3 linked regions of the Elephas maximus indicus genome follow. The protein of the gene in region 1 interacts with the protein of each later gene in a pairwise test. Links are inferred from orthologs where the notes say so. Each region holds a gene or a part of one and is shown on either strand. Other genes may lie near its edges.

What was found.
Region 2: the proteins of TCHP (region 1) and keratin, type I cytoskeletal 16 interact in binary tests that used the Homo sapiens proteins (3 or more experiments, as listed by UniProt). The link is inferred for Elephas maximus indicus from reciprocal best matches to the Homo sapiens genes TCHP and KRT16.
Region 3: the proteins of TCHP (region 1) and DYDC1 interact in binary tests that used the Homo sapiens proteins (3 or more experiments, as listed by UniProt). The two-hybrid records come from large-scale screens. The link is inferred for Elephas maximus indicus from reciprocal best matches to the Homo sapiens genes TCHP and DYDC1.

The regions. Positions count from the first base shown.
Region 1 is NC_064840.1:20,432,725-20,436,471, forward strand, and holds the start of TCHP (trichoplein keratin filament-binding protein), read left to right. Parts: upstream 1-1,013; 5' UTR 1,014-1,140; intron 1,141-1,986; coding exon 1,987-2,174; intron 2,175-3,747. UniProt on the Homo sapiens protein: Tumor suppressor which has the ability to inhibit cell growth and be pro-apoptotic during cell stress. Inhibits cell growth in bladder and prostate cancer cells by a down-regulation of HSPB1 by inhibiting its phosphorylation.
Region 2 is NC_064837.1:48,668,449-48,672,195, forward strand, and holds the start of keratin, type I cytoskeletal 16, read right to left. Parts: upstream 2,583-3,747; coding exon 2,064-2,582; intron 1,583-2,063; coding exon 1,500-1,582; intron 1,407-1,499; coding exon 1,250-1,406; intron 1,136-1,249; coding exon 974-1,135; intron 882-973; coding exon 756-881; intron 425-755; coding exon 204-424; coding exon of another isoform or gene 200-203; intron 97-199; coding exon 50-96; intron 1-49. UniProt on the Homo sapiens protein: Epidermis-specific type I keratin that plays a key role in skin. Acts as a regulator of innate immunity in response to skin barrier breach: required for some inflammatory checkpoint for the skin barrier maintenance.
Region 3 is NC_064826.1:131,933,342-131,937,088, reverse strand, and holds the start of DYDC1 (DPY30 domain-containing protein 1), read right to left. Parts: upstream 2,361-3,747; 5' UTR 2,275-2,360; intron 1-2,274. Other genes in the region: DYDC2 (DPY30 domain-containing protein 2), read left to right, coding at 2,872-2,948. UniProt on the Homo sapiens protein: Functions as part of axonemal radial spoke complexes that play an important part in the motility of sperm and cilia. Plays a crucial role during acrosome biogenesis.

The sequences.
Region 1 (3,747 bases):
GGTGGGTTCCAACCGCTGATCTTTCCCTTAGCAGCTGAGTGATGGTGGCTACAAGCTCCTAGAGAAACAGATGGGAGACTCACAACTTCAGGGGGCTGGGTGTCAATCCTGCCTCCTGTCCTTGCTGTGTGACCTCAAGAGAGTTGCTTCACTTCTCTGAGCCTCAGTTTCCTCATCTGCAAAGTGAAGGCAACAAGGGAGGCTTCAGCAAGGTAATAAATGTTAAAAACATCTGGCACATGGCAGGTGTTCAAGAAATGTGAGTTGCTTTGCTTCTTGCTTTCTTTCATCGTTCCCTTTTTTTTTGGATAATGGGGAGAAGGGACTCAAAGTTGGGGATCTACTCATTGGTTTTTAACAATAGAAGGTTACCAGTACCCTACATCTATTTACATCGGTAGTCTCTGCCTTGGTTGCACACCAAACGCACCTAGGCAGCTTGGAAAAACTGATGCCCGGGATCCACCCCCCCGAGTGATTTGTCTGGGGTTTAGTCTGGGGATCGGGATTTCTTAGAGCTCTCCAGGTCATTCTCATGTACAGTCAGGCGGCTTATATTCTTTTCCTCTATCCTATCCCCGTGATTTCCTACCACCCTTACCTTCATCCCCCTAGGTTACCGTGTACTGAACGGATTCTTTTCCTCCATCGTTCCTTATTTTAAGGACTAGTGATCTTTAGGAGCCCAGGTGGTGCAGTGGTTAAGCACTTGGCTGCTAACCGAAAGGCTGCCACCAGCCGCTCTGCGAGAGAAGGGTGTGGCCGCCTGCTTCCATAAAGATGATAGCCTTGGAAACCCTATGGGCAGCTCTACTCTGCCATATAGGGTGGCTATGAGTCGGAATCCACCCCACGGCGATGGGTTTGGTTTTGGGCTTTCTGAAAAGCGACAATTGCTCTTGATCGCCCGCCCAACACTAGGAGGCGCCAGAGAAAACAGACGCCTTTCTTTCTTCCGCGCGCTCAGTATCGCGCTGGAGGCGGCTTGGCCCTCGCGACGCTCCGTCGCCAGGCCCGTTGCCGGGACAACGAACTTTGAAACGGCTGGCGTCAGTGCCGCGCGGCCTGCGGGGAGATTGTCCGGCTTGTGGGACCTTGGCCTGGGTGGGTCGCTTGGGAAACTCCAGGACCCAGAGAAATGTGAGTCGGGAGGCTAGCTTCGTCCGGGAGCCAGCGTGGGGCCCAGGACAGGGTCCCGGCCGCTGTCGGCCCGCAGTGGCGGGAGCGCGGGTTGGTCTGGGGACACGAGGACAGGGCGCCCGGATTCCCGTCCTCACTCTGCTCCGACACTTGCCGCTGTCATCCCGCTTGTCAGATGTGGATGTTGAGGCTCAGTGTCTCCATCTGTGAGATTAGGGATTTGCCCTCCATGATGGCCCAGAGCACTTTCAGCTGCAGCACCTGGTCTGGGGACTGCCAGGGCATTTTGGTTCCAACACACAGCCTGTCACAGTTGACAGAGCCTGGAATCTGGACTCAGACCAACGTGAATTAGAACCGCATCTCTTTTATTTCCTCCATTTCCTGGCTGAGTGTTCCCGGACAAGTCATGTCACCTCTTTAAACTTAAGTTTTCTTATCTACCAAATAACAGAGGTGGTCATAGGGATGAGACTGCTCCTAAGATGTTCCTTAAATGATTGTCACTGTTACTTTATGCAGGGTATAAACCTCCCCAAGGAGTGGTTCTCTGTCTCTGTCTTCAGTGCCCCCGATAATGCCTGGCCCACAGCCAGTGCAGCCCACATTTATTTAAGTCAGCGATTTGCAGTGCTGATAGCAAATCAATTTTAAAATGCCGTTGCCTGGGCGTCACTCTTAAGATTTTCTGATTTAATTGGTCTACTATTTTTTTGAAAGCTCCACCAGGCGATTCCAATGTGCAGCCAGGGGCGAGAGCCATTGATTAGAGGGATGAGGCCGAGCTCGGGAGGGTTCCTGGGGTTTGCAGTTGGCTCACTTTCCTGCCATCGCTGTTCTCCTCAGATGGCACTGCCCACACTGCCCTCCTCCTGGTGCAGCCGGCGGCTCCTAAGTCAGCAGTTGGCACGGCAGCGAGAGCAGGCGGACTGGCTTCGGCAGCAGTGGGATCAGAACCGTCGCTACTTTCAACTGTCTGACATCTGCAGCTCCAAACAGGCAGAGTGGAGCTCCAAGACCTCCTACCAGCGGAGGTAATTGCACAGTGACTGCCAGTTAGATGGAGGTGGGGCCTGCTTGCTGGTCACGGGATGTGGTGTTAAGGGCCCTGGGAATGTGGCTTGGCTTGACATCATGCCTTCTAGAGGGATTTGCTAACAGCAGGGATTGCCTGCATGGTGGTGATGGTTTTTCCAACTAAGAAAGATAAAAGATGCTTAGCTTCATTAGCCTTCAGAGATATGCACATCAAAACCACAATGAGATACCATTTAATTCCCACTAGGATGGCTTAGATTAAAAAAAAAAAATCAGAAAATAATGTATGTTGATGAGGATGTGGGAAAATTGGAGCCCTTATCCATTGCTATTGGAATGCAAAATGGTATAGCCATTGTGGAAAACAGTGTGGCAGTTCCTCAAAAAACTAAAAATGGAACTACCATATGACCCAACAATTCCTAGGTATATACCCAAAAGACTTGAAAGCAGAGACTCAAAAAGAGACATGTACACCAATTTTCATTGCAGCACTATTCACAATAGCCAAAAGGCAGAAATAACCTAAATGCCCATTGACAGATGAATGGATAAACAAAATGTGGTACATACATACAATAAAATACTACTCAGCCAGTTGGAGAAATGAAGTCCTGATACATGCTATAATATGGACGGAGCTTGAAGACATTATGCTGAGCGAAATAAGCTCACAAAAGGACACATATTGTATGACCTCACTTATATATAAAAAGACAAGGAAAGGCACACATATAGAGATCAAAATTTATTAGTTTTTACCAGGGGTGTGAGGAAGAGTGGAAAGGGGGGAGGTTAATGGTGAGGGAAAAATCACATTGATTAAGGGCACAGTTGCACAGCCGATTATTGTAATTGCTGTCAATGAGTTGTACACCTGTAAAAAGTTGAATTGGCAAAAGTGGTATAATAGATATGTTAACAACAACAACAACAAAAAGCTGCTTATGTGCAGCCAGACACCTTACGGGATTTGGTTCCTTGGTTAGGAGGTTTATGGTCATAGTTTCATGGGACACTCCAGTTAATTGGCCTAAGAACGTGTTTAGTGCTTCTGTTCTACCTCCTAGTTCGTTGTGTAGTGCCTGGGGTCTTAAAAGCTTACAAGTGGCCATCCAAGGCACAACAATTGGTCTCTAGTCACCTGTAACAACAGCAGAAGGAGAGTCAGGAACAGGAGGAAGATATGGAATGTGGGCTAATAGCTTCCATGAACAACTGCCTCATTTGCTGTGAGACCAGAAGAACTAGATGGTACCTGGCTGCCATTACTAAATATTTTGAACAAAGATTCCATAGAAGAATGCTGATCAGAATTTCAAATTCTCATGGACTGTAGACTTTCTGGAGCCATGGAAGGTAGACAAACTCCTGAAACTGTTGCCCTGAGATAATCTTTAAACCCTAACCAAAAATATCCCCTGAAGTCATCTTAAAACCAAACGATAGTTTAGCTTAACTAGTAAAAAAGACCAGCCTTGACATTATGCTTTTTTAAGAACTATCTATATGGGATCAAATTGACAACAGGCAACTTGAAAGATTAGATGGGAAGCTTAGGGGCAGTGA
Region 2 (3,747 bases), on another chromosome or scaffold:
CCCATCCCATGCAAACAGGCAGAGGGGCTGGAATGCCCAGGAGTCTTACCCTCGCGGGAAGAATAGGACTGGCCAGTCGTTTGCTGGGAGAAGAGGCTGTGGGGGAGAAAAGGCAGAGCAGTTAGATGTGCTGGCAGAAGCAGGGGTGGGGGTGGAGTAGGGGGGGTGGAGGGTCTGTGGGGCAGGACTGGATCCCCACTCACTGGGCATCCTCGCCCTCCAGCAGGCGGCGGTAGGTGGCAATCTCCTGCTCCAGGCGTGTCTTCACATCCAGCAGGATCTGGTATTCCTGGTTCTGTTGTTCCATCTCGCAGCGCAGCTGTGCCAGCTGCTCCTCCACGCTGCTGATCATGTCCTGGATCTGGGCCAGCTGCATGCAGTAGCGGCCTTTGGTCTCCTCCAGACTGTTCTCCAGGGACGCTTTCTGCGAGTGGGAGTGAGAAACAGAGAGTCAACGGAGGTGTTTGTCTGTCTCTCCAGGTCTCTGGACATGTTTCCTGAGACGTGTGTGGAGTTTGAACCCAGGTGGGCTACTGACGGGCAAGTCAACAGGGAGCAAAGTTATTCCATCATTCTGGGCATGAGCTTCCCCATCTGTAAAATGGATACAATGATCCCTCCTGTCCCACTCCTGAGCAGGACAATGAGACAAAAAAAAGAAAAGGAAGAGAGGAATAGGAGTGTATTGTGGTGTTGAGAGGGTACTGGCCATTACTGATGACCTGGGGGATAGGGCAGGGCTGGGTCTTCCATACCATGCTGAGCTGGGACTGCAGCTCGATCTCCAGGCCTTGCAACACCCTCCGGAGCTCAGTCACTTCGGTTCGGCTGCTCTGCACCAGTTCGCTGTTAGAGGCCACTTCTCTGTTCAGCTCCTCAGTCTGAGACAGGAAAGAAGGGTAAGAGCTTTCAGATGCTCAGAGGTCTCCCCAGCTGCAAGGTCCCACAGGAGAGCTGAGGATCCGAGTCCCACCTTGCTCAGGAACCAGGCCTCAGCGTCTCTGCGGTTCTTCTCCGCGATTTGCTCATACTGGTCACGCATCTCGTTCAGGATGCGACTCAGGTCCACACCGGGAGCTGCGTCCATCTCCACGTTGACATCCCCGCCAGTCTGACCCCGCAGGATAAGCATCTCCTAGGGAGGGATGGCAAGAGTCGGTCAGCTCAGCAGGCCCCTGTCCTGGCCCCAGGTAGATCTAGCAATCCCACTAAGCCAGCCTCCCACCCCCAACGCCAGCAGGGGCCTCACCTCCTCGTGGTTCTTCCTCATAAAGACCAGCTCCTCCTTCAGGCTCTCAATCTGCATCTCCAGGTCAGTTCTGGCCAGGGTCAGCTCATCCAGCACCCTGCGCAGGCCGTTGATGTCGGCTTCTACACTCTGGCGCAGTGCCAGCTCATGCTCGTACCTAAGGGGCAGAGGTCAGAGCATCAGGCTCCAGCCCTGAGCGGACGGCCCCATTCGTTGCCCCTGCCCTCAGTCCACCACAGTAACTGCTCACTTGGTCCTGAAGTCATCAGCTGCCAGCCTGGCGTTATCGATCTGCAGAATAGGCTGGGCATTCTCAATGGTGGCCCTGATGATCTGGGTGGGAATGGAGGGACAGGAGGCCTGGTCAGTCAAGGACCTCAGTCTTGGAGGGCAAATGGCAGAGGGGGAGGAAAGGAACCTCCCCAAATCTGGGGGTGGCCTGGCTGGGAGGCCTTACACTCACCCAGCCACCCTGGGGTACCTTCTTCACCCATCTCAGGATGTGTAGGTGATACACCCCACATCTCCCTCCACCCTCATCCTGGGCCTGAGGTTGAGGGAAACTGAGTGTGCCATGCAAAGAACCCTCCAAGGGAATAAGAGATTCCAGGTTCCAGCCCCAGTTCAGACACATAGATGCTGAAAAGGAGCCATCTGCCACCAATTCTTGGTGACCCTTGGCCACCCCCCAAGTTGGGCTTCAGTTTCCCTGTTTGTAAAGCAGAGATGCTAGGAGTCAGTTTCCTAAGGGCCACTGCAGCCCTGGCCTCTCTCAATGCTTTGTGCACCAGGGCCAGCCACCTGGCCCACTCACCTTGTTCCTCAGGTCCTCGATGGTCTGGAAGTAGGGGCTGTAGTCTTTGATCTCAGTGGGCCGCTGCTTCTGGTACCAGTCACGGATCTTTATCTCCAGGTCAGCATTGGCCTCCTCCAGGGCACGCACCTTGTCCAGGTAGGAGGCCAGGCGGTCATTGAGGTTCTGCATGGTGATCTTCTCATTGCCAGAGAGGAGGCCGCCATCACCAGCAATGAACCCAGCACCAAAGCCACCACCAAAGCCAGCACCAAGACCACCACCGTATCCTCCACCAAAGCCACTACCCAGAGCCCCACCAAAGCTGCTGCTGCTGAAGCCACCGCCATAGCCACCCCCTATTCCGCAGGCTCCCCCAGAAGAGAAGCGGGAGGAGGTGACTGACAGACCCCCATAGGCACTGGGGGCCCGGCAGGAGCCTGCAGTCAGGACAGAGGAGATGCGGCCGGAGCCGCCGCCGATGCCACAGGAGCCCTTCAGGGAGCTGGAGGAGGTGAACTGGCGGCTGCAGGTAGTCATGGTGCCGAGAAGGAGATGAAGGAGAGAGCGTGTAGAATGCCCGGGAGGTGCTCAGGAAGGCTGAGAGAGGATGCTGTGGCTGCCTTGATTTGCTGGAAACTTTATATGCTGTCTGGGAAAGGCGGGGCCCCCATGACTGCTGACTGTAGGTTCTCCTCCAGATTTCATCACTCCAGGCTCGTCCAACTCCCCTCTCCGGATTGTTAAGCCTGGGGTCTACTCACTTCGCTGTCTGCTAGCTTAGGGTTCACACCCAGCTCCAGGGGGCGTGGGACTGAGAGAAGAACACACAAATGCCAAGTCGGTAGTGACTCAGGCTGGGTGGCTGAGACTCCCAGCTTTGGTTCCTGGAGCCCATGGGGCCAGCAGGGCCTCGGCACAGGCAGCTTTGCAGTGGCTGCGTCCCCTGGCAATGAGCCAGCTATCGAAAGGACTCTCTGCCCCACTGTGATGGCCTTGGCTGAGGGAGGCCTCAGCAGTGCCATCCCAGGGCTGTCTCCAGATACGGCTGTGGGCATCCTACAAGCCCAGCTCTAGGCACGCAAGGCAGGAGCTGGGCTCTAGGCCTGGTTCTGCTCTGCTCGCTGTGTGATCTGAGGTCCCTGCCTCCCCTCTCTGGGCCTCTGTTTCCCCTCAGTAAAGTGACCAGGCTGGACCAGGTGATCTCAGAGTCCTTTTAGTTCTGGTTCTAGAAATCCTATGACTCTCTTTCCCCTGCTGGATTCAACCCCACTTTCGGGGGCTACCTTTGAGCCCCCAGGATTGCCAAAAGTAGAATGTACCCTGGAAACAGCATGCACTTTGGATCAAGACAGGTGATAACTTAAATCCCTCCTCTGCCCCTTACGAACTGCACAGCTTAGCCCCTCTGGGCTTCAGTTTTCTCATCTGTAAAAGGGGAGGACACACCACCAGCCACATAGGAATGTACATGAAAGGCCCAGGCTGTACAGGGTTCAACAGTAGGCCCTCCCTCCCCCATGGCCAGCCCTGCCCCTCAGCCTCCCCATCCCTCCTTTCCAGCTGATTGGCCCCTCACTTGCCTCCTCACACCCCCCTCCGCTGCACTCTGTCACCTCCCTTTCATACCCCCACGCAGGCCCTGCTGTCTCCTTTCTGCTCCCACACTCCCCAGTGCTCTCTTCCTCCAGGCCAGCCCACTGCT
Region 3 (3,747 bases), on another chromosome or scaffold:
TGGAATTTAGACTCCTCGAAAAAGCTGATGAAATGTGTTCATTATTCAACAAATATATACTGAATGCCTATCAACAATATGGTCCCTGGGTGGCACAAATGGTTTGCACTCAGCTACTAATCAAAAGGTTGGCAGTTCAAACCCACCCAGTGGCACCACAGAAGAAAGGCCTGGTGATCTGCTTCCATAAACACTACAGCCAAGAAAACCCTATGGAGCAATTCTACTCTGCACCACATAGGGTTATCATGGGTCAGAATCAACTTGACAGCAATGGCTTTTTTGTGTGTGTTTGTATTCAACAAATACAAACTGAGGCACCTTGACAGATGCTGGGAATACAAAACACAGTCTCTGCCCTCATGGAGCTTACAGGTGAGTAGGGAAGACAAACATTAATCAAATATTAACATCAATAAATGAATGTAAAATTGAAATTGTCATGAGTACTATGCAAACCAGATAACAGGAGGATTTGACCCAGTTGGAAAAGTCAAGGAGAGCTTTCCTGAGGGGTGATGTTCAAACTAAGATTTGAAGGAACAGTAAAAGTCATCCCAGCAAGGAGAAGCAACAGCCTTCCAGGTATGGGAAAAGGCGCTGGTATAGGAGTGAGCATGCGGTCAACACAGCAAAGAGAAGGCAGAGCCTTCCAGGTAAGAGAAAAGGCGTGGTATAGGAGTTAGTGTACAGGCATGGGGACAGAGTGCCAGGCTGTCCACATCCTGCTCCTAGTCCAATGCACCTGACATTTTATATTAAGATCTCAGAAACACTGACATCCTGAGATCTATGCATAGACCCCCAATACTGCTCTTCTCTCATGCAATGCTGATGGGAGTGCAAAATGGTATGGGGGGAATTTGGCAGACTCTACACATGTCTTCTCTGCGACCCCACAATCTCACTCTGGGATCCTAGCTCAAAGATCCTAGCTCAAAGATACACCTGTAAAAATACGAAACGACATATGCACGAGGTTATTTTGCACCACTGCTTAGAATAGCCAAAGACTGGGAAACTACTCAATTATTCATCAACAGGAGATCGATGATACACAGCAACACCATCAATTACTATGCAGATGTAAAAGAATGAGGAAGACCTCTAAAACAGGGAGGGACATTCAGGACATTAACAAAGCAAGGTGCAGCAAGTATATATAGCATGCCATCCTTTGTATTAGCAACAGCAGTGAGAAAGGAATGCCGTGTGTGTAAAAATTAAAAACTCTACAGACCAAAAGCAAACTGGTACAAATGAACCTAACTCCCCATCAGGTTGGCACTGGTGTCCTAACCACACAGGGAAAAGATTACAGCTGACTTTGGAACACAGTATCTTCACTGTACTTCTCTAAAAACAGAAGAAACTACAAAGATATCTCAACTTCATTTGAAGTGGAGTAACATAAAAGAGGGAAGGGCCTCCTGCCGCTGCTCCTCAAAAATAAAACACGCGGGAAGGGGGCAGGGTCCCTAATGCGGGAGATTAAGAGTAGGAACGGGTCCACGGTGTGCTGCAGCCCATCATCAGTGGGACTTGGGCGGGGCTCGTCACCTCACTTGGCATCTGTTCCCTGTCCACGAAATGGTGATAGTACCCATTTCACAGAGTTGTTGAAAGGAATGCTATTTTTCATATACACCAATAGGCAGCATCTTGGATCAAAAGAAGAAAGCCCCTTCCCACAGAAACAGCCGCCTCAAATCTGGAGAAGGTGCCACAAGAGACAGACTGAGATGCCTCGCCCAAACCAGGGAGACAGATCCAGGTAGGGCTGCCAGATTAAGCAAATAAAAATACAGGACACCCAGTGAAATTTGAATGTCAGCTAAACAGCGAATAATTTTGTATTACACTATATCCATTTCCGTCCAGTCGAATTCCGACTCATAGCTACCCTATAGCACAGAGTAGAGCTGCCCCACAGGGTTTCCAAAGAGTGGCTGGTGCATTCCAACTGTCGACCTTTTGGTTAGCAGCCGAGCTCTTAATCACTGCGCCACCAGGGTACTGAAATGTTTTTCGTTGTCTATCTGAAGTTCAAATTTAATTGGGCGTCCGGTGTTTTATCTGGCAAATCCCTACACAAGGCGCGCTCCCCGAGGACGAGGGAGGAAGAGGAGGAGGAGGAAGAGCAGCTGGCAAACGGGACCCCAGGTGCGGAGCTAACCCTCACATGGCCTTTGGGCGCCCCCTTAGCCCTAGGCTCCTAGCAACGTCTGTCAGAACCGCCTCTGCCCGCTGCGACCCAAGGAAAGTGGGACGAACCTTTCTCGGACCACTGCGCCTGCGTTCTCGATGCGCACGCCGCACGCACGCGCCGAACTCCTGCCGGCTATCCGCGTCCCGTCGCTAGGCAGCAAACTCGCGCACCCCAGAAGCCAAAGGGAGCGCGCCACAGAGAGGAGAAGCGCGCGGGTGGGTGAGCCCAGGAGCGCGCGAAAGGGCGAGGAGCACGACATAAAGAGGAGGCGGTGCGCACGCGAGCGCGCGCGGGGTGGAGGGATGCGGCATAGACACTGTGAGGAGCGTCGGAGGAGCAGAGGAAGTGAGCTGAGGGATTCTGGGAGAGGAAGGGTTGGTGGGCTCCGGGAGAAGCAGGGAGGGGCGCCTGCTTAGGGTAAGTGCTTTCTCCAGGTAGTCAACTCCACGGCAACTGGTTTGATTTTATGTACTAGTCACCATGTATTATCTCTTTTGATCCTCTCAATTTTTGAGGTACATTTGTTATTTCTCTTTTACAGATGAGGAAGCGGGAGCTCAGATAAACTGACTTGCTGAAGATCACAGGAGAACCAGGACTGGAACTTGGTCTGGTTCCACAGTCTACGTTCATACTGCCACCGTATACTGCCTCGTAAACGTATGGTGTTACAGGTCTTTGAACCTATTGGTTGGGACGGAACCCCTGCTGAGAGTTTGCATTCTTTACAAGTTCCCAGGTGATGCTAAAGCTGCTGGTTAGGGGCCAGTTCTAAGAGCCACTAGTAGAGCTGTGGTTCTCAAAGCTTATTATACATAAGAATCACCAGGGGATCTTGTTAAAATGTGGATTCTGAATCGTATACCTGGGGCCTGAACGAACTGGTTGGAAGCCAGTATGACCCAGGCTACATTACCTCCAGCTCTCGAAATCTGATTAAAAGTAAATCAAAGGGCAAGTAAATCAAAAGTAAATAAAGTAGTTTTCTGCTTAAGTAGTAGAAAGTGGAGTATAGTATTAGGTGTGGCAGCGCCCTTGACCAGCAGTAGCTGCAGGGCCTGTTAGTTTGCCTCCTCCTGCCCTAGGCTTCTTGTGAAATAAATAAGCCTTTGTATCTGTGGGTTTTATCTGTGTCATAGGAGCCCTGGTGGTGCAGTGGTTAAAGCACTCAGCTGCAAACTTAAAGGTCAGTGGCTCAAGCCCACCAGCTTCTCTGCAGGAAAAAGATATGACAGTCTACTTCCATAAAGATTTACACTCTTGGAAACCCTATGGGGCAGTTCTACTCAGCCCCGTAGGGTTACTGTGAGTCAGAATTGACTCAAGGGCAGTGGGTTCGGGTTTGGATCTAGGTCATAGGTGACTGTGGGTTCCAGTGTCACAAAACCACGGCTCCCTAACCCAAGGGTGTAAGTGTGTAAGTGGAGGCCTGTAGCCATCCCTAACCATCAATGTATTTCCTCTGAGGCCTGATGACCCCCTAGAACCTTTTGTTTGCTGGAGAGCATTAGGAAAAAGCTCACTTGAAGATAAGAGCT